Regions from separate parts of the Mus musculus genome. Here region 1 is reported to be linked to region 2. The links are microRNA targets in miRTarBase. Many come from high-throughput screens and were not tested one by one. Region 2 holds a microRNA gene; the other region holds the end of a gene's coding sequence.

The links. Region 2 holds the annotated microRNA mmu-miR-7068-3p (UCACCCUGGACUGACUCUCAG, at 7,462-7,482, shown strand). A microRNA usually pairs through its seed, bases 2 to 8, with sites in the 3' UTR of a target mRNA and lowers its output. Matches are read on the target gene's strand: a 7mer-m8 pairs with bases 2 to 8, a 7mer-A1 pairs with bases 2 to 7 and ends in A, and an 8mer does both.
Region 1: the mRNA of Akap5 is a reported target of mmu-miR-7068-3p. Seed matches in the 3' UTR shown: 7mer-m8 at 6,313-6,319.

What each region holds. Positions count from the first base shown.
Region 1 is chr12:76,325,756-76,338,531 of GRCm38, forward strand. It overlaps Akap5 (A kinase (PRKA) anchor protein 5), which reads left to right. Exons shown (of 2, transcript NM_001101471.1): 2 at 1,811-8,396. The coding sequence starts at 2,062. The coding sequence ends at 4,299. Among named protein-coding and RNA genes, the nearest start is that of Akap5, 7.3 kb to the left of the region's middle.
Region 2 is chr8:72,464,722-72,477,497 of GRCm38, reverse strand. It overlaps Mir7068 (microRNA 7068), which reads left to right and starts at 7,409; the gene lies at 7,409-7,482. It overlaps Cherp (calcium homeostasis endoplasmic reticulum protein), which reads left to right and starts at 2,265. Exons shown (of 18, transcript NM_138585.3): 1 at 2,265-2,440; 2 at 2,713-2,886; 3 at 6,443-6,627; 4 at 7,271-7,408; 5 at 7,483-7,634; 6 at 9,012-9,123; 7 at 9,209-9,298; 8 at 9,456-9,735; 9 at 10,940-11,115. The coding sequence starts at 2,416.

The DNA of each region.
Region 1 (12,776 bases), not on the chromosome of region 2:
ATAATCTCATTTGAATATTTCTTCTATTAATACACACACTTAGAAGGAATGATCTCTAGAGCGCTGGAGGCTCAGGGAAAGAAGACGTGGAAGCCATTAAGACTGGGTTCTAGTTCTAGTGCTAGGGTGTGTGAGGAGAGACTGCAAATGTTATACTGGTCCCATCATTCTAGAATTTTATGTTTCTTTGTAGAAAGATGAAGCTTTCAATACTTACCCTTAAAAAAACAAAAGAAAAGCCTTAGCTCTTAAAACGGTTTTTCAGGGTTCCAGTTCTACAGAGAATTGGGAACTGGTACCCAAGTGAAAGCTCTGTGAAGAATATGCATGAAAGGCTCCCCTGCGCCTAACTCAGGGCTCAGCACCTAAAATGCACGGAGCTGTTGTTAGCTAGTCATTCCAGGTCCTCATTCCTTAAGCCTTGCCATTCTGTGGACTATTACTTTTTTTGGTGGCACTGGGGCTCAAACCCAGAATCTTGTGGCACGTTAGGCCAATGTTCTGTCACTAAGCTATGTGTCAGTTTAGTTTTACATGTTTTTCTGAGACAGGGTCTCACGTAGCTGGTGCTGTCTTCAACTCTACTATGTAGCTCTGTGGATGGCCTTGATTGAGACTCCTGCCTCCACCTCCCACTTGCTGGAATTACAGTCACGCGTGGTCACAAGCAGCCTCAGATTAGCATTTTAAAGCAATTTACTTTCTCTTGGACCTCGAGGCGCAGTGAAAGAACGCAGTTCAGAAACAGGCAGTCTTGGGTTAAATCTGAGCGCTGTTGCCACCGACAAGCTTTGTAGTCTCAGGCAGGCAGACTGCTTAACTGCAGATGGAGATATCACCACCTCCTCACTCTGCAACACTGCGGTGCAGGTTAGAGATGTATGTGAAAGTGCTCAGCGCTGCTGCCTCGTACACGGGAGTCGCGCAACCGACGTTGGCTGGAACCGTCACTAACTTACCTCCAGCTGTGTGCAGTTACAGTGGGGAAACATGAGTAGCAGGCACTTCACTGAAGATGTCAAAGTTACACAACGACTTTTAAGAGTAGAGAATGACAGCGATGCTAGATTTTTTTTTTTTCTGAGAGTATGTATGGAAAGTAGCGCCTCCTTGGTGAAATGTATGTACATTTTTAGAACAGAAACCTTATGCTACAATAGAACGAACACCAGAGAGTCAGATTTTCTACTTCTAACTCTGGCTAGGTCCTCATCTAGCTGAAGGCTTTCTGCAAGCTCTAGCTGCCCACTGGGAGCTCACGTTGATCATTAATTCATCGTGAGCCATCTCCCATGTCCCTCGTAGTACCAGCGTTCTTCGTGGTATGTGATGAGACAGTACTCAGGCTTCCCTACCACACTGCCCTCTCTTTTCTTGTTATTTGCTAAACTTTCCATATGGGACCATAAACAATTCTTGGAGAAGATAACTGGGCACACTAGCAGAGTGACCTCAAACAAAATCTGAGCAAAATGAGTTCACACTCAAATCTTTTTGATAGGGTAAAACCAAGCCTCGCTTTTTAGCCCTAAGTTGTTGTAGTATGTACTTTCTGTGGAATGCATGCACCATATGATACAGTTTATATTAAAAATAATAGGCTTCCTCCAGGCAGTGGTGGCGAACGCCTTTAATCTCAGCACTTGGGAGGCAGAGGCAGGTGCATCTCTGAGTTTGAGGCCAACCTCATCTACAGGGTGAGTTCCAGGACAGCCAGGGCTACACAGAGAAACCTTGTCTGGAAAAACCAAACAAAATAACGTAATAAAATAAATACCCTGAAATAAACCCTACTTTTTTCTCTCATCAGGTTGGGCTTCAAATAAAGAAGAAGTTGAGCCAGGAAAGTGCTTTCATTCAAAGAGTAAATTAAAAGAAGACACCGTGAGGCTCAGATAAACAAGGCGTTCGTGTCCTGAAGAAGTCACAGAAACAGCTGTGGTGTGAGGGGAGAGTGGACACGTAGGAGAAATCGGAGCTGGTGTGATATTTCTGTCACAAAAGACTTTCGGAGGAAGGGAAAAGACACGTTTCTAGAGAATGAAAGAGTGCAGCGTCAAAATGGAGACCAGCGTTTCTGAGATTCAGGTAGAGACGAAGGACGAGAAGGGACCAGTAGCAGCCAGTCCTCAGAAAGAGAGGCAGGAGAGAAAAACAGCCACACTCTGCTTCAAGAGAAGGAAGAAAGCGAACAAGACAAAACCCAAAGCCGGTTCCAGGACTGCTGAGGAGACAAAGAAACATACCCCCGAAGCTGGGGGCTCTGGTCAACGGCAACCAGCGGGTGCCTGGGCCTCCATCAAAGGCCTTGTGACACACAGGAAAAGGTCCGAGCCTGCAAAGAAGCAGAAGCCGCCTGAGGCAGAGGTGCAGCCCGAGGATGGGGCTCTTCCTAAGAAAAAGGCAAAATCCAGACTTAAGTTTCCTTGCCTAAGATTCTCAAGAGGGGCAAAGAGAAGTCGTCATTCCAAACTCACAGAAGATTCAGGCTACGTCAGAGTCCAGGGAGAGGCAGACGATTTGGAGATAAAAGCCCAGACCCAGCCAGATGACCAGGCAATCCAGGCTGGGTCTACCCAGGGCCTACAGGAAGGTGTGTTGGTGAGAGATGGTAAGAAGAGCCAAGAATCACACATAAGCAACAGCGTCACCTCGGGAGAGAATGTGATCGCCATAGAACTGGAATTAGAAAACAAATCTTCTGCTATCCAGATGGGAACTCCTGAGCTGGAAAAGGAGACTAAGGTGATCACGGAAAAGCCAAGTGTGCAGACGCAGCGAGCAAGTCTACTTGAGAGTTCAGCAGCAGGCAGCCCTCGGTCAGTGACTTCTGCTGCTCCTCCATCACCAGCAACCACACATCAACATAGTCTGGAAGAACCCAGTAATGGCATCCGGGAAAGTGCCCCAAGTGGGAAAGATGACAGGAGAAAGACTGCTGCTGAAGAAAAGAAATCAGGAGAGACTGCACTGGGCCAGGCAGAGGAAGCTGCAGTTGGCCAGGCAGACAAAAGGGCACTAAGCCAGGCCGGAGAAGCTACAGCGGGCCACCCAGAGGAAGCTACTGTGATCCAGGCAGAGAGTCAGGCAAAGGAAGGGAAACTGAGCCAGGCAGAGGAAACTACAGTGGCCCAGGCAAAGGAAACTGTATTGAGTCAGGCAAAGGAAGGTGAACTGAGCCAGGCAAAGAAAGCTACAGTTGGCCAGGCAGAGGAAGCTACAATTGACCACACAGAGAAAGTCACAGTGGATCAGGCAGAGGAAACCACAGTGGGTCAGGCAGAAGAAGCTACAGTTGGTCAGGCAGGGGAAGCTATATTGAGCCAAGCAAAGGAAGCTACAGTTGTTGGTCAGGCAGAGGAAGCTACAGTTGATCGGGCAGAGGAAGCTACTGTTGGTCAGGCAGAGGAAGCTACAGTTGGCCACACAGAGAAAGTCACAGTGGATCAGGCAGAGGAAGCCACGGTGGGTCAGGCAGAGGAAGCTACTGTTGGTCAGGCAGAGGAAGCTACAGTTGATTGGGCAGAAAAACCCACAGTTGGTCAGGCAGAGGAAGCCACAGTGGGTCAGGCAGAGGAAGCTACAGTTGGCCACACAGAGAAAGTCACAGTGGATCAGGCAGAGGAAGCAACAGTGGGTCAGGCAGAGGAAGCTACAGTTGGCCACACAGAGAAAGTCACAGTGGATCATGCAGAGGAAGCCACAGTGGGTCAGGCAGAGGAAGCTACAGTTGGACAGGCAGAGAAAGTCACAGTGGATCATGCAGAGGAAGCCACAGTGGGTCAGGCAGAGGAAGCTACAGTTGGACAGGCAGAGAAAGTCACAGTGGATCATGCAGAGGAAGCCACAGTGGGTCAGGCAGAGGAAGCTACAGTTGGACAGGCAGAGAAAGTCACAGTGGATCAGGCAGAGGAACCCACAGTGGATCAGGCTGAGGAAGCTATATCGAGCCATGCACCAGATCTGAAAGAAAATGGAATTGATACAGAGAAACCGAGATCAGAAGAAAGCAAACGAATGGAGCCAATTGCTATTATCATTACTGACACTGAAATCAGTGAATTTGATGTTAAGAAGTCTAAAAATGTTCCTAAGCAATTCCTAATTTCAATGGAAAACGAGCAAGTGGGGGTTTTTGCTAATGATAGTGATTTCGAGGGGAGAACTTCAGAACAGTATGAAACACTCTTAATAGAAACAGCATCTTCTCTCGTCAAGAATGCTATCGAGTTGTCTGTAGAACAGCTGGTTAATGAAATGGTTTCCGAGGATAATCAAATAAATACGCTGTTCCAGTGACTTCGTTTCCAGGTCACGAAAAGAAAGGGGGGAAAAAAACCCTTGAAAGATGAATTCTTTTATCCCTTTGTGGCACTTCTTTCTCAGTAATAAATTAGAGGCTTATCATCTGTGGAATCTAAGGGTACAGTTCCAGCCCAGAAGTGCTAAAGGATCAATGAAGGTTGTAAAACTCTGTCATTGAAACACAGTTCTGGACTGGAGGGAGTCAGCACAGATCACAGTGCGAAGTGACTTATGGGGAGGTGTGGAAGTGGCAGGCAATAGCCCAGTGCTTTGAGGAGGGAAGACTACTGAGCACTGGGTATGCTATATGGTTCTTTAATGTCACTAAGTCTGGGTTTCTTTCTGATGGTTCGACCCTGGGTTATAGGTGAACGCTCCATTCGCTTTCCTTTTACAGGGTCTTCCTGCTGTCTCTAGTGGTGAATCAGGTGAGTGGGCTTTTCTAGTCTTGAGCAAGTTCTGTACTAAAGGTGTTCATGGGTTCCTTCGGTCAGGCCAATAGTTAACACATGTGTAGGCATGGACACAGGAAGTGTGTTCTCTCCCCAACATCCCTCTGCCCAGAAGACCTGTATATACCCATCTGTGAGTGAACCTTTCTCCTGAGAAATCAAATGGGGAAGAGTATATTTTTTATCCAGGAGGCAAACTTCCCAGGTAGCAAAGGATTCTAATAGCAGAGCTACTTCTTTGGGTTGTTTTTTTGTTTGTTTGTTTTTTCCAGATAGTATTTCTCTGTGTAACCCTGGCTGTCCTGGAACTCGCTCTATAGACCAGGCTGGCCTCGAACTCACAGAATTCCGACTGCCTCTGCTTCCCAAGTGCTGGTCGAGATTAAAGGTATGGGTCATCATCGCCTGGCTAAAGGGCCAGGAAACCGTAATATTCTTGTGAAAATAGTTCTTGGCCAAACATAAACTATGTAATGAACTGAATAAAAGGTCAAAATTCACACTAAAGCCTAGATTTTCAACACCAGTATTTTTCATTTTGTCTAGCCATAACACTGTAACATACTACCCAACCCCACACGTTAGGGTCCATATTGTACAGCACCCCCATCCCACTATCTAAACTAAGTGATACTGTTTCTACTTGTTACAAAAGATGTGGTACACATGGTACAATGTCTGTTGAGCATCTTCTTGAGGCATGAGCACCACTAGTTGGTTTGGTTGTTATTTTTGTTTTTTGTGTTGTTGTTGTTTTCAAGACAAGGTTTCTCTGTGTAACCTTGGCTGTCCTGAAACTCACTCTGTAGACCAGGCTGGCCTCCAACTTAGAGATCCGCCTGCCTCTGCTTCCTGAGTGCTGGGACTAAAGTCGTGCGCCACCACTGTCCAGCGAGCACTGCTTATTTTCATCCACTTTGCACTTACACTGTGTTTATGGGCTGCATATGTATACACTGCTTTTTCCTATCTTTTATTTTGTAAATACATATTGTGATCTTGTGCAAAAGTAACTAATGTGGCTTTGAAAATTAACCAAATGGTGGATGTTTAGCAAGATTCTTGGCTGGAATGTGAAAATATTTTCTTCAGGCTTGCCTATCTTCATGTTTGTAATGGGTGATGGGGTATCATTCAATTTAGATAAAAACACAACACCCCTTCAATAAATTTATTTTAATGGTTTTCCTCTTAGACATAAAACTAAAAATCACTCCTAAATCATCTTTGAAAGAATATTTTAACCCACTGTATATGGTGCTAATAGACTTGTATAGATAGCTACCAGCAAATATGTTTAAAATGAACTTTTAAAAGCCTGGTTAAAGTTGGTACACTTTGCAGTACTTTAAACAATTCTGTATCTATTTACTATAAGAATGGCTCCAAGGAGAGCCACATTACACTCACATTAAGGTTTCTAATCTCTTATGAATGAGTAAAATCTATAAGATACAAGCTCTTAGTTATTGAAGATATTCTGGGTTTGGAGATTTTGAAAAGCAGGCACAAAGTAAATTTGTAATTTTGGGGGTAAGATAGTAGCCCTGGGTTTCAGGGTGTGTGTGTGTGTGTGTGTGTGTGTGTGTGTGTGTGTGTGTATGTTCCCTACACTACTATTTGATAATTATACCTTTGGTTAGAAGGTATTGTTATAATTGATTGTTTTTATAAGAAAATATATTCTCCTTCATTCTTAAGTATTTTCTCTGGCTTTTTAAAGCATAATTCCAACCTGTAAGCAGAATGCAGAAATTCATTAGTGGGTCACAACCCTAAGTATCTGCTATGTGGCCAAATGATAGTGAATCTTAGGGTGGTCCAAACTATTCTGTTGTTATAAAAATAAGAGATGGCTTGGAAGTCTGCCATCATTTTTTTTTTTTTTTTTTTTGGTAATGGGATGTATTTCAAGCAGTTTGACTTTCTATGCAAACTATATAGAAAGATTCTGACTCAATTTACACCCTTGTGGCCTTAAACGGACCCATTTAGATGCATCAACTTAGGGTAGTCACATTAATTTTCATTGAAATTTGCCTTTAATGAACATTAGCTAAGATCAAATTTCTTCTTGAAGTCGGAAATTTCTAAGGCTGGGGGCGTCTATCAGATCCTTGATAATTTTTCAGTGTCTTCTCTTCACCCCCTGAAGTCAAGCGTTATTCACACAGCACAGAGGATACAAGCACTTGCCTCGATCTTTTTGTGTGTGACTATTCACTTAACATTTGTTCAGCGTACTTTTTTAAGATATTAAAAATAGTCCCCAGTAACATCTAAGTAAAGGCAGCAGAAAACAAAAGACCTTTCCAACAGAAATCATGTTCCCTGCCACCCCCTCCACCTCCAAGAATAATAAGCATGTGGCACAAATGGATCTCTTCAGAAAAGCTGTCTGCATAATTTTCCTCCAGGTAACGGGCTTGACAGCATGAAGATGGGGATGATCTTAATTGGTCTACTACTTAGTGGAGTCTTAGACACGGCTTTACTTCTGAGAGACAATGCGGTCTCGACAGTGTATCGAGAGAGGCTTCGTGCTTGAGACTCATTAGCTCTGTGGCCTATGAGAAGGCCCTGGGGCAGCCTTGCACATGCATCCAGCCCAGAGTTCATTTCATCTGCAAATGTCTGATTTCCAGTTGCCTTATTATTTTTTTTTTATATAGCTGAGAATTGTTTTTAGGGGGTTGTGGCAGAATTTTTAAAATAATTGTTAGACTTTCAAACCCTGTTTTTTGAAAAGTTCCTTTAGTCAGCTTCACCGAATAAGTAGTCTACTTCCTGGTTAAATGCTAAATGCACCAGGATTTGACTTTTATACCTGCCAGTTTTGCACTTTTAGAATACCTTTGTTTAAGTTGTAGAGTTTTTTTTGTTTGTTTGTTTTTTTGTCTTTGTCCAGAGCTGAGGACCGAACCCAGGGCCTTGCGCTTGCTAGGCAAGCGCTCTACCACTGAGCTAAATCCCCAACCCCAGTTGTAGAGTTCTTGAGGTTCAAGTTCCTGTTTTACAGCGCAACTAAGTTTCTTACATGAAATTGAAAATTTCAATCCATTTTGCATTTTATCACACATTTTTGGAAAGAATTTTTGTAATGATCCTTGATGACCAAAATTTATTAGAATGACTTTACATAAAGTATGGGTGCCCCAATAAAGTTGGATTCAACACGTTAACACCTGTCAAAGACTATGATAATAGGCCTCCTACAGCTCATCCTGGGTAGGGTGTGTGTGTGTGTGTGTGTGTGTGTGTGTGTGTGTGTGTGTAAAGGAGGTGGCAACAGAAGCCAGGACAGGGGTGAGGCAGAGCCACCGACAATGCAAAAGGGGAAGTAGAAAGGATGGAGAAGTTGGGGTCTGAACATAAACCGTATATCTCCTCTGATTTGTGACCAGGTGCAGGAGAAGGCCTGATAATGTCACATATGTCGGTTCTTTGCCTGTAGAAATGTTAAGTGGACGAGCCATCAGAACCATAAGAGTACCACTTTGTATCCTCATTGAAATTAGTACTACTGTGACTCAAAAGCTGATAGTAAAGAAATAATACTCTGTAGAGAAAAAGGTTTCAAGCTGAATTGATTCATGTACTGACTAATACAGAATAAATGTTATATTAGCTCATTTAGTTAACTGTGTCTTTAAAACTGGTAAATTATGTTTATTTCCTAAAACTGTAAAGATCACCCAGATGAGGACGTTTAGTTCTATAAAAAGTTCCACTATGCTGGTGACTGAACAAACATCACAACACGACACACCGGAGGCCACCTCCAGCAAAGAGATGCAAACAGAACTCTGATACAACCGCAAGAGCTAGGTCTGAATCTGATGCCATTTGAACTTTGGGCCCTGGAACCTAGTGACACAGTACTTGCTGCATGTATAATGTAGCAGGCTACACGTCCAGTTCCCAGGACCTTAAAAATGAACCAAACCAAACAAACAAACAAACAAGAAAGAAAGAAAGAAAGAAAGAATGAATTTTCTTACTGGACACATGAATTGCTTTTCTGTATTATTAATTTTTTTGTTTTTGTTTTTGGAAACAGGGCTTCTCCATGTAGCCCTGGCTGTCCTGAAACTAGCTTTCTAGACCAGGCTGGCCTCAAACTCACAAAGATCCACCCACCTCTGCCTCTTGCCACCAGCCTGTCTTTTCTGTAGTTTGTGTCTATGAATTACTATATATTACTATGATGTTAATAATCCCTCCGGTTTCTTATGTAAGCCATGGTATGGGAGGATTTACATTATTCACATGACACCAACTTTACTTTGCTGTTCCATAAGTTGGATTTCCTAAAGCCCTAATTTCATTCTGCTATCAATATTATTTTGGTTGTTGTGTGAGGCAGGTGGCCTTGAACATCTGCCTGATCCTCGTCCCCCAGTCTCCTGAGTGCTGAATTACAGGGATGTACTACCAGGCTTGGCCTCTGGTTTTGTTTGTTTTTTAATTTTGTCTTGTTTTGGTTTTTTTCCTAACAACAACCTAATAGTAATAATTAGGTCCAATGACACTCTACTTTCCAAACCTCGGGACCCACTGAAAAGTTGATAGAACCCTCGTGATCCTGAATCGACAGCTGGCTGTGGACTTCCCTTACTGCCTGATGTTGTACAAGCACCACACATAAAGAATGTCACAGTCTTCAGAATTGTGTTTTATTTTTGTTATTACTATTATTATAATTTGGGGCTTTTTTTGTTTGTTTGTTTGTTTTTGTTTTTTTTGAGGCAGGGCCTTTCTATGTAACCCTGCTGTCCTGGAACTAGCTACATAGACCAGGCTATCTTTAAAAACACAAAGCTTTTCCTGCCTTGGCTTCCCGAGTACTGGGATTAAAGCCATTTGCAACCACACCTGGCTCTTTTTTTTTTAAGATTATTTTTTTTATGTATGTGAGTACATTGTCATTGTCTTCAGACACACCAGAAGAAGGCACTAGAGCCCAATATAGATGGCTGTGAGCCCCCAGATGGTTGCTGGGAATTGAACTCAGGATCTCTGGAAGAGCAGTCAGTGCTCTTAACTGCTGAGCCATCTCTCTGGCCCCCACACCTGGCACTTATGAACTTTTAAAAAGTTTTTTTTGTTGCTTGAGACAGGCATATGTAGCTCAGGCCGTCCCCACACTCGAGGTCCTCCTGCCTCTCCCTGTACCTCAGGAGTGTTGTGATCACAAGCATGTCGGCACACTCAAGCAGGTTTGTGAAATTAACTTGTCTAGTAGGAGCACTGCCATTTACAGACTGTGTCCTCGTCACCATGTATGCTAACTCTTCACAGACTCAGCTTTAACCCTGAAGTCTGAAGTCCCCTGACCCACTCTTGCTTTGGTTTTCTGGGGGGGTTAATTCATGAGTTTAGGGGACGAAGTAAATACTCAGAGCACATCACACAGAAAATGCTCAGCCCAGTTGGCTCAAGCCTTGTGGGCAAAGAAAAATCCAGAGAGGAAGGGGCTAGGACTGCCAGCCAATCAGAATGGTACATTACCTAGCATTAGCAAGACTCCATGTCCTTTGTTTTGTGGCTAAACTCAAATTGGACTTGTCGCCCTGCCTTTCTTCTCGGGTTTAAGAAATAAGTTCAAGGAGACAGGTGGGAGCAAGGGCACCTTGTCCAGGGATGTTTGAAAGTTGGTGCATGACAGATGATCGTTGTCTGGGCCAGAGAATGGAGTGGAGTTGAGCAGGTTAGATTTGTAACTGTGCTGGGACTCAAACCAAGGGCCTCATGCTCTACCGAGCCGCATTCAGAGCAGCCACGACCTTCGTGACCATGCAATCAGTAGGCAGGATTAAGCGTCTCGAGCACCTTTCATTTACATCCCCGAGCCTTCCACGTCTGCTTTCCTGGGAGCTACAGCAAACAGGAGGGCACCAAAGTGGATGCAGTCACTTGTAACTGCACACACCTTTGAGGGGAGGAGATACCGAACACTGAGTTGTGAATTTGCACATTCACCATGGACTCTACAACCCGAAGCCTGCACTGACATCTTTACCTTCATGTGACAAGGTCTGGTCAGGATTATCATCAGGGTGACTCTGGGCCACATTGTGAAGAATCGTTCCTATGCCTAATGCAACCTGGCAAACAGATAAGAACCTAAGATGTGCTCTGTGTGGAATTGGTGTTCAGAACAAGGGCTTTGATCAACAGGAATGTCACATATCTAACAGAGGTCGTGCCAAGCGGGTGTGTCTCTAGCCAGGATTGCCCTTGCACACTCAAGTGCTGAAACGGAGCACTGCACAGACAGAATGCTGGGACCAATGGCCACCACTTGGTTCAGGTGGAGCTAGCCAACCCCGTGTGAGCTCTCCACCAGATGTGGCATGCAGCTAGCGGTGAGCCTTGATTTCAGAGGATAGTTTCTTAGAATCCTCTTTAATTTTCTGGGCTTTCTCTAATTCCTTGATATTTTGCCTATTATTTTTCCTAAAGGATTAAATAATTAGACTCATTTAACTTTTTCTTTAAAAAAATTATGTTTGTCTATGAATAATGTCAGACATAATTCACAAAGCATTTAAAAAAATCTACCGTTTTTATTTAATTATAATTTTATGTGAGTGTTCTGCCTGCATGTATGTGTTCATCACTTGCATGCCTGGTGACTGTGGAGACCAGAAGAGGGTGTCAGGTTCCTGGAACTGGACTTACAGAGGATTGCAAGCTTCTATGTGAATGCTGACAACCTAACCCAGGCTCTGCAACGGCAACAAGTGCTCTTAACAACCGGAGGCAGAGGCAGGCGGATTTCTGAGTTCAAGGCCACCCTGGTCTATAGAGTGAGTTCCAGGACAGCCAGGGCTACACAGAGAAACCTTGTCTCAAAAAACCAAAAAAAAAAAAAAAAAAAAAACAAAAAAAAAAAAAAAAAAACAAAAATAAAAACAAATAAAAACAAAACAAAACAAAACAACCGAGCCATCTGTCTGTCCAGCCGAACGTCTGACATTCTTGCCTGCACATCACAAGTGTTGAGATTATAGGCATTATAGGTGTGTGCCTCCACACCATGTATGTGGTGCTAGGATCCAACCATGGCTTTGCACATGCTAAGCAAGTACTCTGAAAACTGACCTCTAACCCCAGCCCTACACTTTAAATGTTAGCTTTATATACTGTTAGTTTATGGTGGGGGGTTTCTTTTGGCTCATGGTTTGAGGGTGCAGTCCATCACTGTGGGGAAGCGAGTCATGGGCTTCTTCAGGTAGCGGCGCTCACTGCCTCCACAGTCAGGAAACAGGAAGGATGAAAGTGAGTGCTAAACTGAATTTCTTCTATCTATTCAGTACAGCACTCCAGCTGACCGACTGGTTCTGCCCAGAGTTAAAGTGTTTTTCCACTCAGGTAACCCGACCCAGGTAACCTCTCAGACTCAGTGCCTAGAGGCTTGTCCCCTGGGTTATCTAGGTCCTACTCACAATCACAGTTAATCCCAGCCAGAGGTGGTGGTGATGGTGGGGTCTATGAGTTTAAGGCCACCCTGGTCTACACGACAGTTCCAGGGCAGCCAGGGCTACACAGAGAGACCCTTTAAAACAAACAAAACAAAACGAAATAACCAGCGCGCCGGGCGTGGTGGCGCATGTCTTTAATCCCAGCACTCGGGAGGCAGAAGCAGGCAGATTTCTGAATTCGAGGCCAGCCTGGTCTACAGGGTGAGTTCTAGGACAGCCAGGGCTATACAGAGAAACCCTGTCTCTCGAAAAAACCAAAAAAAAAAAAAAAAAAAAAAAAAAAAAAAAGAACCAGTGCAAAAGCTACCTGAGTATTTTTAGTTTAATATAATTTCCTGTGTTAGCAAAACTTGCAATTTGTGCAGAAATCCGAAATAACTTTTTTGTTTGGTTTGCTTATTTTCAGATGGGATTTCTATGTGTAATAGCCCAATCTTAGTGTTTAAATTGGGAGAGCCAGGTACTCGACACACCCTGCATCCACTAATAAATTAATAAACAAGAACAAAAGCCCAGGAGAAACCGAGGCTGG
Region 2 (12,776 bases):
TAACCCTTTGGCCTAGCCCCTCACTCTGCCTGCCCTTGTTTTTCAGCAAAGCAACAGTATGTTTTGAACTTATGGGTTAGCTATTAACGTCACAAGTATTAACTCACAGCCATTAACATCAGGGGAAATTTCAGCAAGGTCAGGGTGGTGTGTGGTCTTTCTCAGAATTCAGTGTGGGGTGGGGTAGGGGAATTTCTTTGAGAACTGCTAATGTTGTTTTGGCAGCTGCAGGCTTAGTCATTTTGACCACTAAAACTATATAATTTGGAAGTCCCTTCAGAGGAGAAGGGGCTAGGTGGTCTTGAACTTATTTTGGATTCTACAGTGCTCAGTGTCCCACACTGTCAAGGAGAGAAAGGCTGAGTAAGCTGGAACAGGACAGAACTATGGAGAGCTTGGGTCTGCTGAAGGGACCTGGGTGGAGGTATAGGAGAGGATTAGTTTTATCAGTAAGTTAGTTTGGCCCAGAACCCTGGTCAAAGCACAGTGCTCAGTAGATACAGGCTTGAGCTAGAGTTGTAACCCAGGAAAGCATGGTCTATTAGCTGAGGCAGCCTGGGTACTAACAGAATTTACAGCCTGGGCTCTGTCAGGAAAGAAGGCAACTATGTTCTGAAAGGAGATCCCATTCCATCAGCAAGAACCTTCTGAGCCGGGCGTGGTGGTGCACGCCTTTAATCCCAGCACTTGGGAGGCAGAGGCAGGCGGATTTCTGAGTTCCAGGCCAGCCTGGTCTACAGAGTGATATTTAGGACAGCCAGGGCTATACAGAGAAACCCTGTCTCGAAAAAAAAGAAAGGAAGGAAGGAAGGAAGGAAGGAAGGAAGGAAGGAAGGAAGGAAGGAAGAAAGAAAGAAAGAAAGAAAGAAAGAAAAAAGAATCTTCTGGAACTATCTCAGGTGAGCATGAGGGAGACAGTCCGGGCAGATACAGACTTCTATTTACTGTGAGCCACACAGAGTCCCTACAAGGTCACAATAGTCTTTGGGGATTGCAGGCCTGTGCTGCTGTTGTCTGGTTTTTACACTGAATTCTTGGACCTGAACTCAGGTGGTCCTGCTCCCATGACAAGCACATCACCATTGAGCTATCTCTGCAGCTCCAAGAGTAGGACATTATAAAGGGGCTTCACAGCAGGCAAGACAGGAGTTACAGGAAGGGCATAGGGATCAGGATACCTGCTAGGCTCAACTTCCTCCTTCCTCCTCATATAATCGTGGTGTGGTGCTTCCAGCAGTAAGAATATCCAATTAGGAAAAGTCGGAGACCCTGGCATAACAGGCTCAAAGGATCACTAAGGGCTTAGTGGCCAGCACAAACTCAGAAAGTAAATCATGCCAGTGCTGTAGATCCTGTGCCTGCTTCCAGCTTCTTTAGGCCCTGAAGTCACGTACACAAACCCACCTGACACATAATTAAACCTTTGTTTTCGAGACAGGGTTTCTCTGTATAGTCCTGGCTATCCTGAAACTCTTTGTAGACCAAATTGGTTTTGAACTTGAGATCTGTCTGCCACTGCCTCCCAAGTGTTGAGACTAAAGGCGTGCGCTACCATGCCCGGCAAAATATAAATCTTTTTTTCTTTCTAAAGGTCGATGGTATATCTCAGTGATTGCCTAACATGCAGCCAGTCCTGTCTTCCATCCCCAGTATCCTGTAACCCTGGTGTGGTGGTGGCACACGCCTGTCATCTCAGTACTTAAGAGCTAAGAGGAGGATCGGGAGTGCAAGATTATCTAAGGCTGTGTGGGGAGTTAGAGATCAGCTTGGGCTCTATGAGACCTAATATTCAAAAACCAGGAGTAAGTAATAATATAAATAAACAGAAGGGATGGGGTGTTGACGCAGCTTCCGCTTCTCCTTCCATAGAACGTCTATAGTCGCTTCAGAAGAGATGTCTTTGCTCCACGTCGGTCTGATGTGATGTTGTGGAGCCCCAATGCTCAAAATTCTTACCCAGAAGGAGCATATCGGAACAGGAGCCGAGTGAGGTGTGATTCGCCAAAACCATCACCTGCCGATCCCGCCTTCTGGATGGCGTAAAAGGATGTGAAAGACGCAGAGGCCTGGGAGTGCACGCGTTCGCAAGAACGCAGCAGAAACCCAGAGTACCGCCGGCGCAGCTTCTCACGCTCCAGCGCGTCGGGGAACAGCGGCCGGGCCGCCGCATGCGCAAAGAGGCTCACGCGCATGCGTCTCACTAGGCCATCCTTCTCTGGAGTCCTCACGCAGTCCCTTCCCGCCCTCCTCCGGTCTTCACTTCCGGTGTTTCCCAGCGACAGCCGTAAATGGCGCGCGAAGCGGCCCGCGAGGCCGTCGTAAACGTCGCCCTTCGCGCCACTTCCGGCCGGCTTCTGTGGCCGGTGCTGGTAAGCGATCGTGAGGCGGCGGAGGACGTTGCCAGTGGCTGCAGCCATGGAGATGCCGATGCCGCCAGATGGTGAGGCCGGTCCCTGAGCTGAGGTCGTTGGGTTCTTCTCGTGTGCCCCCGCCGGCCAGCCGTGCCTCCTCGCGTTGCCGGGCCAGTGACGGAGCGCGCTGCGGCCTCGCCGCTCCTCCCTCGGCCTCTCCGTGGTTCCCCGCATTCCTGGCGCGCGCTTGGCCCTAGTCAGGACCCGTACACCACCGCCTTGCAGTGGCCCGCCCCAGAGGACCCCGGCCTGGTCCCCGGGTCAGGCTGCCCCCACTGACGCCTTTTCCTCTGTTTTGCAGATCAGGAGCTTCGAAATGTCATCGATAAGCTCGCTCAGTTTGTGGCTCGCAACGGACCCGAGTTCGAGAAAATGACGATGGAGAAGCAGAAGGACAACCCTAAGTTCTCGTTTCTGTTTGGAGGCGAGTTCTACAGTTACTACAAGTGCAAGCTGGCACTGGAGCAGCAACAGCGTGAGTTCCCCTCAGGCCCTCAGCCGCCTCGGGGTTCAATGCGGGCCCCGCCGCAGCCAATTTCTTTAGAGTTGCAAGTTTCCTCTGCAGAGCAGAGCAGCCGTTCTTCTGTCCTACCCGGAGCCCTGTACCAAGATAGACTGCTGGATCTGTGTGTCATAAGGAGAGACTATCATATATTCTCTATCCAGGCTTTTGGGTCGGGAGTGGTCCCTGGGTGGTCTTTGCAGAGGCAATTGCGGATCTGCAGGAAGGTGGGAACTGTGCAAACTGTGCAGCCTTTCTGCAGGCTGAGACCATAGCTTTCTGCATTTCAGGTGCATAGATCAAAAAGCTTTCCCTTTAGTTTTTGCAACGTTTTTCTTTTCCTTTTTTTTTTTTTTTTTTTTTTGCTTTCGAGATAGGGTTTCTCTGTGTAGTCCTGACTGTTCTAGAGCTAGTTTTGTAAACTAGATTTAAACATCAAGAAAAATATGATTAAAAATAATAGAAATAATAAAAAGTTTAGAGCCAGGGATGATGGGACCACCGCTTTAATCTCAACACTTAGAAGGCAAAGGCAGGTCGATCTCTGTGAGTTTGTGGCCAACTGATTGTACAAGTTCCAGTACAGGCAAGACTACATAGACTGCCTAAAAAAAAAAAAAAAAAAAAACAAAAGAAAAAGGAAAATGAGTGAAGAAGCACAGCTGGTCTTTAAGGGCCTCACACCATATCCCAGGTTGGCCTGGCAGTATGTTATCCAGCCTAGCTTCCAGTTCAAAGCAGCCTTCCTGCATCAGCTTTTCAGCATACCCAAGCTTTGAATAGTAACAGCAGATTTTATGGTTTCTGAGAGCAGAACTCACATCTGTCATATCTAGGGTAGCTCTCTAGTCTCTGAATAAACTGTGGAAATAAGTGTCTGGACTTGCAAAGCCAATGAGTAGTCAGAGTGATAGTGGCTGAGCTACAGTCCTCTTTGATGCCAAACATACTTGGTTATACTCCAGCAATGTATTGTAGGTGGTTGATAGAAAGCTTGTAGGGCAGGCAGACTTGAGCCCATGGAGCACAGGGACTTGAAGAAGGTATGTATTCAGAGAGGAGACATCACACATGTGAACTGAGGGGTTTTTCATATGCCAAGGAGGGGTAGGACTAGAGTCTATTGATCATAAGGTTTTGGTTCCTATTCAGTTGTGGTAGAGGTTGACATCACCATCAGAGTGTCTGTGTCCTCATGCGTGTTTAGAGAGGTCATTCCTTAGCCCCAGAGCACCAAGTTCATAGCCATCCTAAAGCTGATGGCGGTTGAAACAGATTCCAGCAGTGTGTTCTAGTGGACAGACTGGAATTAGGAAAGGTGGTGATCATGAACATGGAAGTGGGAGAGGTCGAAGGTAGAGCCATTGAGGATGGGTAAGGGATGGTAAGTGAAAGGAGTTTAGACCGTGCCTTATTATATATCCCTATACAGGAAGCCTGTGCCCACCCCTGTACAGTCACTTGTTTAGGCTTTCAACTTAAAACCATACCTGGGGGTGGGTGGGTATGGGGGACTTTTGGTATAGCATTGGAAATGTAAATGAGCTAAATACCTAATAAAAAATGAAAAAAAAAAACATACCTGGAAATGGAGAATACATGTAAGCTTTGGCACATTAGGGATTGGGAGACAAGAGGACATTCTGCCAGCCATAGCACAGTAGAATGAATATATTGGACATGACAGGGACAAGGCAGGCTGAGGGTGGTGGGTGGTGGAAGTCAAGAGAGATTGGGTTTAGACACAAGGGAGATACGCAGTAGAGAGGACCTGCTTTGCTGAGGAGCTATGAGCATTGCTTAGAAGTAACAAGGCTCAGAAAGGGCTTCAGGTCAACTAAACCCAGGACTGTTCTAGAATGACATTTTGTAAGAATTGTGGTAAAGCACTAGTCAGCTGGGTGTGGTGGTACATACCTTTAATCCCTGCACTCGGGGGACAGAGGCAGGTGAATCTCTTGAGTTAAGGCTAGCTTGGTCTACAGAGAGTTTTTTTCCCTTTTTTGTTTGTTTGGTTGGTTGGTTTTCTTCTTCTTTTTTTTTTTTTTTAAAGATTTATTTATTATTATATGTAAGTACACCGTAGCTGTCTTCAGACACTCCAGAAGAGGGAGTCAGATCTTGTTACAGATGGTTGTGAGCCACCATGTGGTTGCTGGGATTTGAACTCTGAACCTTCGGAAGAGCAGTCGGGTGCTCTTACCCACTGAGCCATCTCACCAGCCCCGGTTGGTTGGTTTTTGAGACAGGGTTTCTCTGTGTAGCCCTGCCTATCCTGGAACTCACTTAATAGACCAGGCTGGGCGAGACCTCAGAAATCTACCTGCCTCTGCTTCCTAAGTGCTGGAATTAAAGGCATGCACCACCACTGCCCAGCTACAGAGAGTTTCTAAGACAGTCTACACAAAGAAAACTTTTCTAGTTTAAAAAAAAAAAAAATTCTACTCCTATCATGGTCTTGTTTTTGTAAAGTACAATAAAAATGTGAGCTGTAGGGTGTTGCTTGTTCCATAGCAATTGACACTCAAGGCTGCTCACAAGCCACTCTGACTGCTGTGGTAGAGGCCTGTTCTGGTGTAGAACACAGTTTCCTATTAGGTGTGATACACGCAAAGGCAGATCGATAGCAGTGATGTGGAAGAGTGCATGTAGTTGGCATGCTGTTGACTAGTGTGAGGGTATGTATACCGCTCATCTGAGTGGCTTGCTATACTCGACTGGGAGGCAGTGCAGGGACTTTGAGAGGCCTAAGTCTGTGAAAGCCCAATGGCCCATGGTGACACCTCCAAAGTGGAGCTTCCAAAAGGAATATGGGATCTGGAGCTTATGAACCAGTATGAACCAGGCAGACATGTAGGGTGCCATTAAAGCCTAGGTGACACTGTCTTTCTTTGCTTTTATCCAAAGTCATTTGTTTTGATGAGTCTTAGGCTCCTAAGAGTGTGGCTATGTTCAGTTGAGGCAGGCAGGGCCTAAAAGTAGAGAGTAAGGAGGCCATATTGTTAAAGTCGTACCTGTGAGTAGGGGCCTTCCTCTCCAGAGACCTTATCTGGGTACATGCCAGCCTCATATACAGTCATACCAGGGTGTTGCTGGTGATTCAAGCTAGTCCAAAGGCTGCAGATTGGGACGGTCACCACAAGCCACAAGAGGTGGGGCTGGTCTTGGGGGCACTCCAGCCCTATGTGTACTGGCCAGACCTCCAGAATGCTGGCTGTCTTGAGTGAAGGGGAGATTAGGATCCAGTGGCTTGGGACAGACACACCTTGGGAGAGGTGCCACATCTCCAGCCCTGGTCATAGCTTGCAGTGCATAGTAGCTTGGTCAGGCCTGCATGAGAAGGGAAGATGGAAGGGTCAGCCTGTCTTGGGACAGTGAGATCAAGCACAACAGGGAAGCTTGGGCAGGATGGCCGTGTGCGGTGGACAGTGGATCCATCAGGTCCTCTCTCTGGAGGGCAACCTGATGGATCACCAAAAGGAACCTGGGGCACCCCCTGAGCTCACAAGGCCCATCTCTTTCCTGCTAGTAATCTGCAAGCAGCAGGCCCCAGAGCTGGAGCCCACCTCAGCCATGCCCCCTCTGCCACAACCTCCGCTGGCTCCCACAGCGTCCCTCACTCCGGCCCAGGGCACCCCATCAATGGACGAGCTCATCCAACAGAGCCAGTGGAGTCTCCAGCAGCAGGAACAGCACCTGCTGGCCCTGCGCCAGGTATGCCTGCATGTACTGTCAGTGACCCTGGAGTCACCTTCCAGTAGGTCTGTGGGTCATCCACAGGCATCGCTCAGTGGACTTGTACCCATTGTGGATGCCAACACATGGCGGCTTAGGTACCTACCATTCTTAATGAGTAGGGAGGGGCATTATTGGCCCCATCTTTTAGGTTGGTTCTGTTGCCAAATTCTATAGGGATGAGCTACCTGAAATGAAAGGAGAGAAGACATACAGACCTGAGTGCCAGCCCCACTCAGGGTTTCCTTGCTTACCACCATCACATATCATGCATGGATGTTTACCATCAGTCATAGTCTGGACAGTTAGGTCTTAGACAGCAGAACCAGCCTCTACTCTTGGTGACCTATACCTACTATTTACTTGCTTGTGTTTAGATTGGTTTGGTTTGGTTTTGAGATAGCATCTCCCCAAGCTGCCCTCAGCCTCCCAAATGGTCACAGGCACATGTGTTAGCCTTTACCCCCTGCCTTGCTCTGCTTAGGTGATCCATGAGCACCCTGCCTCCTTCACATTTTCCTGTTAGCTTAGGCCAGGCTGCCTTGCCTGCTGTGATGATGGACGATACCAGTGTTTGTGCAAGGGCCCTGCTCATACCACCTGTCCCTTGTGGTTTTCCCAGGAGCAAGTAACGACAGCCGTGGCACATGCAGTGGAACAGCAAATGCAGAAGCTGCTGGAAGAGACACAACTGGACATGAGCGAGTTTGACAACCTGCTACAGCCCATCATTGACACCTGCACAAAGGATGCCATCTCGGTGAGGCTCAGTATGGGGTGGGGGTGTCGTCGCCTGCCCGACTGACCACCCACTCACCCTGGACTGACTCTCAGGCTGGGAAGAACTGGATGTTCAGCAATGCTAAGTCCCCACCACACTGTGAGCTGATGGCAGGCCACCTGCGCAACCGCATCACTGCTGATGGCGCACACTTCGAGCTGCGGCTACACCTCATCTATCTGATCAATGACGTGCTGCACCACTGGTAAGTACTTGACCACTTGGTCCAGAGCCCACACCTGTCAGGGACCCCCAACTCCTCCAGTTTCCACCCTTGCTGCACTTGCACACTGGTTCACTGCTTGTACTCCCAGGACAGTGGCTGGCACCCCACAAGGCAGGCCTTGGGCACTGCTGCCTCCTCTCTGCCTCTGTAGCCATCATGTGTCTGCTTCGGTCTGCATAGCCAGACACCTGGCCGATGCACTGTCTGCTCTTCCATGTCTTAGGGCTACCTTTGCTGATCCTCTCTCCATCAGTCTTCTCTTTGCATTGTATTTGGCTCCAGCCTCCTGGGGCCTGGTAGGTGTGTCTTTGCATGGCCAGCGGGTGAAGTTGATGAAGGAAAACAGAGTCCAGAACTCTGGTCAGAGACAGGTGCAAAGGTCCCATGCTAGTGACACATGCCAACAGTCAGCTGGGCTGGCTGCCCTCTGGCTTTCAGCATGATCTTGAGGCTAGGACAGTTGATAAGTATATATGGCTCCCATGAGAGCAGGAGAAGCTGGTATCTTTCTCCCTAACTATCTTCATGCGACCCCTCCTTGTCAGGCTGTGTCCACACCCTCCTGCTTTGTACTCTATTTCCTCTCAAGGTGTCTTGCTCCTGCCTCTTAGGTAGGGCCTCTGCGCAGATGGCCTCTCTCCCACTCCCTGGGACACTCCTCACTCGGCTCACACAAAGCTCTGACCTGCACTGCCTTCCCTTGCCTACCTCCTGGCCAACTCTTGCTGCCCTTTGACCTCAGCTGTGGGAGCTGAAGCTATTAGTCCCTGCCTGCACCTTTCCTGGGTCTGCATATGGGCTGTCTTGCTGAGCCACTACTACTCCCGAGGCCTGAATACTGCACAGCTGGAAGGGCTGCCTTTGGCTGCTTCTTTCCCTTTATCCCCTCTCAGTGGCACTGAGCATGGAAGCCAGGGCCTTGGCACCTGGTAGGCAAATGCTGTGCCTTGTGTTGACCACAATCCTCATGGGTGGTTAGGCTCCCGGTAGCTTTCTCAGTGGCCCTATGAGGCTGGGGAATCCCTTCTGAGCAGATTGTTGAACCTGCTTGTGCATAGTAGTGACCAGGTCCTAACCACAACGGCCCAATTTCACCCTTTACACACATGCAAGGGCTCTAATGAGTCCTTCTAATAGTGAAGGTCTTGTTCTGAATAGCCCTGGAGTGTACACTCTGCCTCTACCTGTCTCCTAAGACAAGGCACCTACACTGTAGATAGTCTTGCTGTTGCCCTCTGGTTTGGGGTGGGGGGCATTTCCTGAGGAGAGGGTGCTGTGGCCACAGCCGCATGGTAACGGGTGCGTGGCTGGGTCCTGCCCCAGGGCCCTGACGCGCGGAAGGTCTCTCCCTCACAGCCAGCGCAAGCAGGCCCGGGAGCTGCTGGCTGCCTTGCAGAAGGTGGTAGTACCCATCTATTGCACCAGCTTCCTGGCTGTGGAGGAGGACAAACAGCAGAAGATTGCCCGGGTATGGGGCTGCTGGGGCTGGGTGGTTGGGCAGGCAGGTGGCTGGGTGATGTGAGCTCTGTTTAACAAGTCTCCCTCTGCACCAGCTCCTGCAGCTCTGGGAAAAGAACGGCTACTTTGATGACTCCATCATTCAGCAACTGCAGAGCCCTGCCCTGGGACTTGGTCAGTATCAGGTGAGCATCACACAGCGGGAGCTACCCATCATCAGGACGTTTAAAACTGCCCACTATTGTTTTCATCGATGAGTCGGGCTGCATCACACACAGCCTTTGGCTCTTGGGATCCTGGGCTGGTGTCCTTAGTGGCAGTGCTCCTGTTCTTCCCCACCAGGCGACTCTCATCAATGAGTACTCGTCAGTGGTGCAGCCTGTGCAGCTGGCCTTCCAGCAGCAGATCCAGAGCCTCAAGACACAGCATGAAGAGTTCGTCAGCAGCTTAGCCCAGCAGCAGCAGCAGCAGCAACAACAGCAGCAGCAGCAGCCGCAGCCACAGCCACAGCCACAGATTCAGCTGCCTCAGATGGAAGCAGATGTGAAGGCCACACCCCCACCACCAGCACCACCACCAGCCTCAGCACCTGCCCCCACCATCCCACCAACTACCCAGCCAGGTATGAGGTTCCCTCCACTCTTGAAACTGACTTCCCCAAATGACAGAAAGCACTCTTCCCTCCTGGACACCTGCTCCACAGCCCGCCCACTGCTGGGCCAAGATTGATCTGCTTATGTGTCCAACCAGGTAAACACTCCCGACTGGCTTGCACCTTAATCCACACTTGGTGCATGGTTGAAACTATGGTCCAGGGCTGAGTGGGCTCAACACATAGAGCCGAGTCCTAGACAGACACACATGTTACATGCCTATATCTAGTGTTTTAGTGTACATGTGTATGTGTGTAAAGGACCACATCTGAAGAAACCTGGATAAGATCTGAAATGAGCAGCTAGGAAGCTGAGGCAGGAGGAGTTTAGACCAGACTGGGATATAAGGCAAGAATCAGTATCTCAGAAGAGTTCTAGCCATACATGGTAGCTAATGGTTGTGATCTTAATCCTGTAAGTTCAAGGCCAGCCTAAACTGTACCTCAAATTATTCCCCCAAAGACTGAGGTGAAAATGTTTAACTGGGGGTACAGGGATGGCTCAGTCAGTAAAGTGCTTTCCATGCACGTGGAGGACTTCATTTGAATGGTCAGTGAGCTCCAAATTCATTGAGAGACTCAAACAGATGGGGTGCCAGAGATGGCTCAGGAGGCATAAACTCATTTACAGGATCTGATGACCTTGGATTGAGCCCTAGGGTCGCAGGAGAGAGCCTGCTGCCAAGAGTTGCCCTATGACCACCATTCATGCACCCATGTGCATGCCTGTAAGCACACAGCTGTTACTTAAAAAGTAACTCTTGCCAGGCGGTGGTGGCGCACGTCATTAATCCCAACACTCGGGAGGCAGAGACAGGCGGATTTCTGAGTTTGAGGCCAGCCTGGTCTACAAAGTGAGTTCCAGGACAGCCAGGGCTACACAGAGAAACCCTGTCTCGAAAAACAAAAACAAACAAACAAACAAAAAAACAACCAACAAACAAAAAAAATAACTCAATAATTCTGTGAATAGACAAGACAGGACATGCCATGAGCATAGAGAATGTCCCTCCGCTCTTGGATCTCTAGAGGGGGGTGGTGGTGACATTTGGAGGGGTGGCTTCCAGTGAGCTTAGGAAGTACAAGTCCTGTCCTGGGCTGGCTTGGGGGTGCTTGAGGGTCAACAGCCTCTCCTGCTGACTAGCTGCCTCTTATTGTATGTCACCTGTGTTAGATGACAACAAGCCTCCCATCCAGATGCCTGGCTCTTCAGAGTACGACACCTCTGCAGGTGTCCAGGATCCTGCAGCTGCTGGCCCTCGAGGTCCTGGCCCCCATGAGCAGATCCCGCCAAACAAGCCCCCTTGGTTTGATCAGCCTCACCCAGTTGCCCCTTGGGGTCAACAGCAGGTATTTCCTAAAATCTGTTGGGGCATGCACATATGGCTGAGTCAAAAGCCTGCCCACATCAGGGAGTGGTGTCACATGCTTTTAATCTCAGCACTTGAGGTAGGGGCAATCAGATCTCTGTGAGTTGGAGACCAGCCTGGTCTATAGATCCGAGTTCCAGGACAACCAGGGATATACAGAGAATCCCTGTCTGGGGGGGTGGGGGGGGGGCTGCTTGCACCTAATGAGGACCTGTGGGGCAGCAGGCAGGCACAGCCATAGTAGCTGAAAGACAGTAGAGCATAGGCAAAGCCCTGTCTCCGTGCTACCATTATGTGGGCTATTCAGGCCCTTGTTTGCCTGTCTTTACTAGTGTAGCTTTCAGGTCTCTCATAAAGGGACTGAAGGAAGATCAGAAGTGGTGGGCTTCTCTAGGAATCTGTAGGTGGTGGCTGCAGTGCCAAGACTCTGGGTGGCTCAGAGTAGCAGACTTGTAGACAGGGCAGCAGCGGTCATGTGGTACATGACCAAAACTAATTTATAATTTGCTAGGTGAGATTGTCTGGAGTATCTAGGTGTAATACGCTTTCCCCTCAATAGGGCATGGCCTATTTATCTGTTGAATATGGCCTTTCTGGTGACTCTTGACTGTAGAGGACACTGATGGGTACCAGGCATGTGGCCCTGCCCTAAGAGCTTCAAGTCTCAAATCTGAGCCTTCTACCCTTCAGCTTCAGGACTAGCAGGTTTACTTGACATGAGATAGATACTCCTTGTAGACAGCACCCATGTCCTGGAAGTGCCAGCTGTGAACCTTATGGGGTGGGCACATGGGAACCTCTGAGGGAGGTAGGGAACAGGCCTTATTGTGTAAGCTCAGTAAGATCTGGGGGCTAGAAGTCTGGTCCACTGAGGTTTCTTAGCCAGTGTGGCAGTTCAACCAATAAAACTAGAGGTCTGGGGTGAGTAAGCAGTCCAGGTAGATGGAATTTCATCCTTAGAAGTGGGGTTGGAGCCAGGACAAGGGAGCATGTTTAATCCCAGTCTTTGGAAAGTTGATGTAGGATTAGGTTCCAGGCTGTCCTGGAACTAGAGTGCCACCTCCACCCCACCCCAATGCCTATTTAATACTGACCAGGCTTCTCTAATCCTGCCTTCAAGGCACCTTAGAGATTGTTTCTGTTATTGGGATTACAGCCTTCTTCTCCTCTTGGAAGCCTGAAAGAGCACCCTATCAGCCTAGCATGGGTCATGCAGCATGCTGCCTTGGGAGTGGCAGAGGACCTCTCCTGTGTAACTCCTGTCCCAAATCTAAGATTCTGTCATCCCTGCTGTAAGTGGTCTGAGCAGTAGCTAGGAATATCTTGAGCCACATGCATCTGTTTACCTGGCTAAAGAAACAAGGACAAGCTGGGCATGGTGGCACACGCCTTTAATCCCAGCACTCGGGAGGCAGAGGCAAGCTGATTTCTGAGTTCGAGGCCAGCCTGGTCTACAAAGTGAGTTCCAGGACAGCCAGGGCTACACAGAGAAACCCTGTCTCGAAAAACCAAAAAAAGAAAAAAGAAAAAGAAACAAGGACAGGTGTTCCAGGCTAACCTTAGGCAATGTTCTGGACGAGTAGGGTTATGATGCAGAATGGTAGTATAAGACTCACAGTCCAGCATGCTGGGATATTCTGA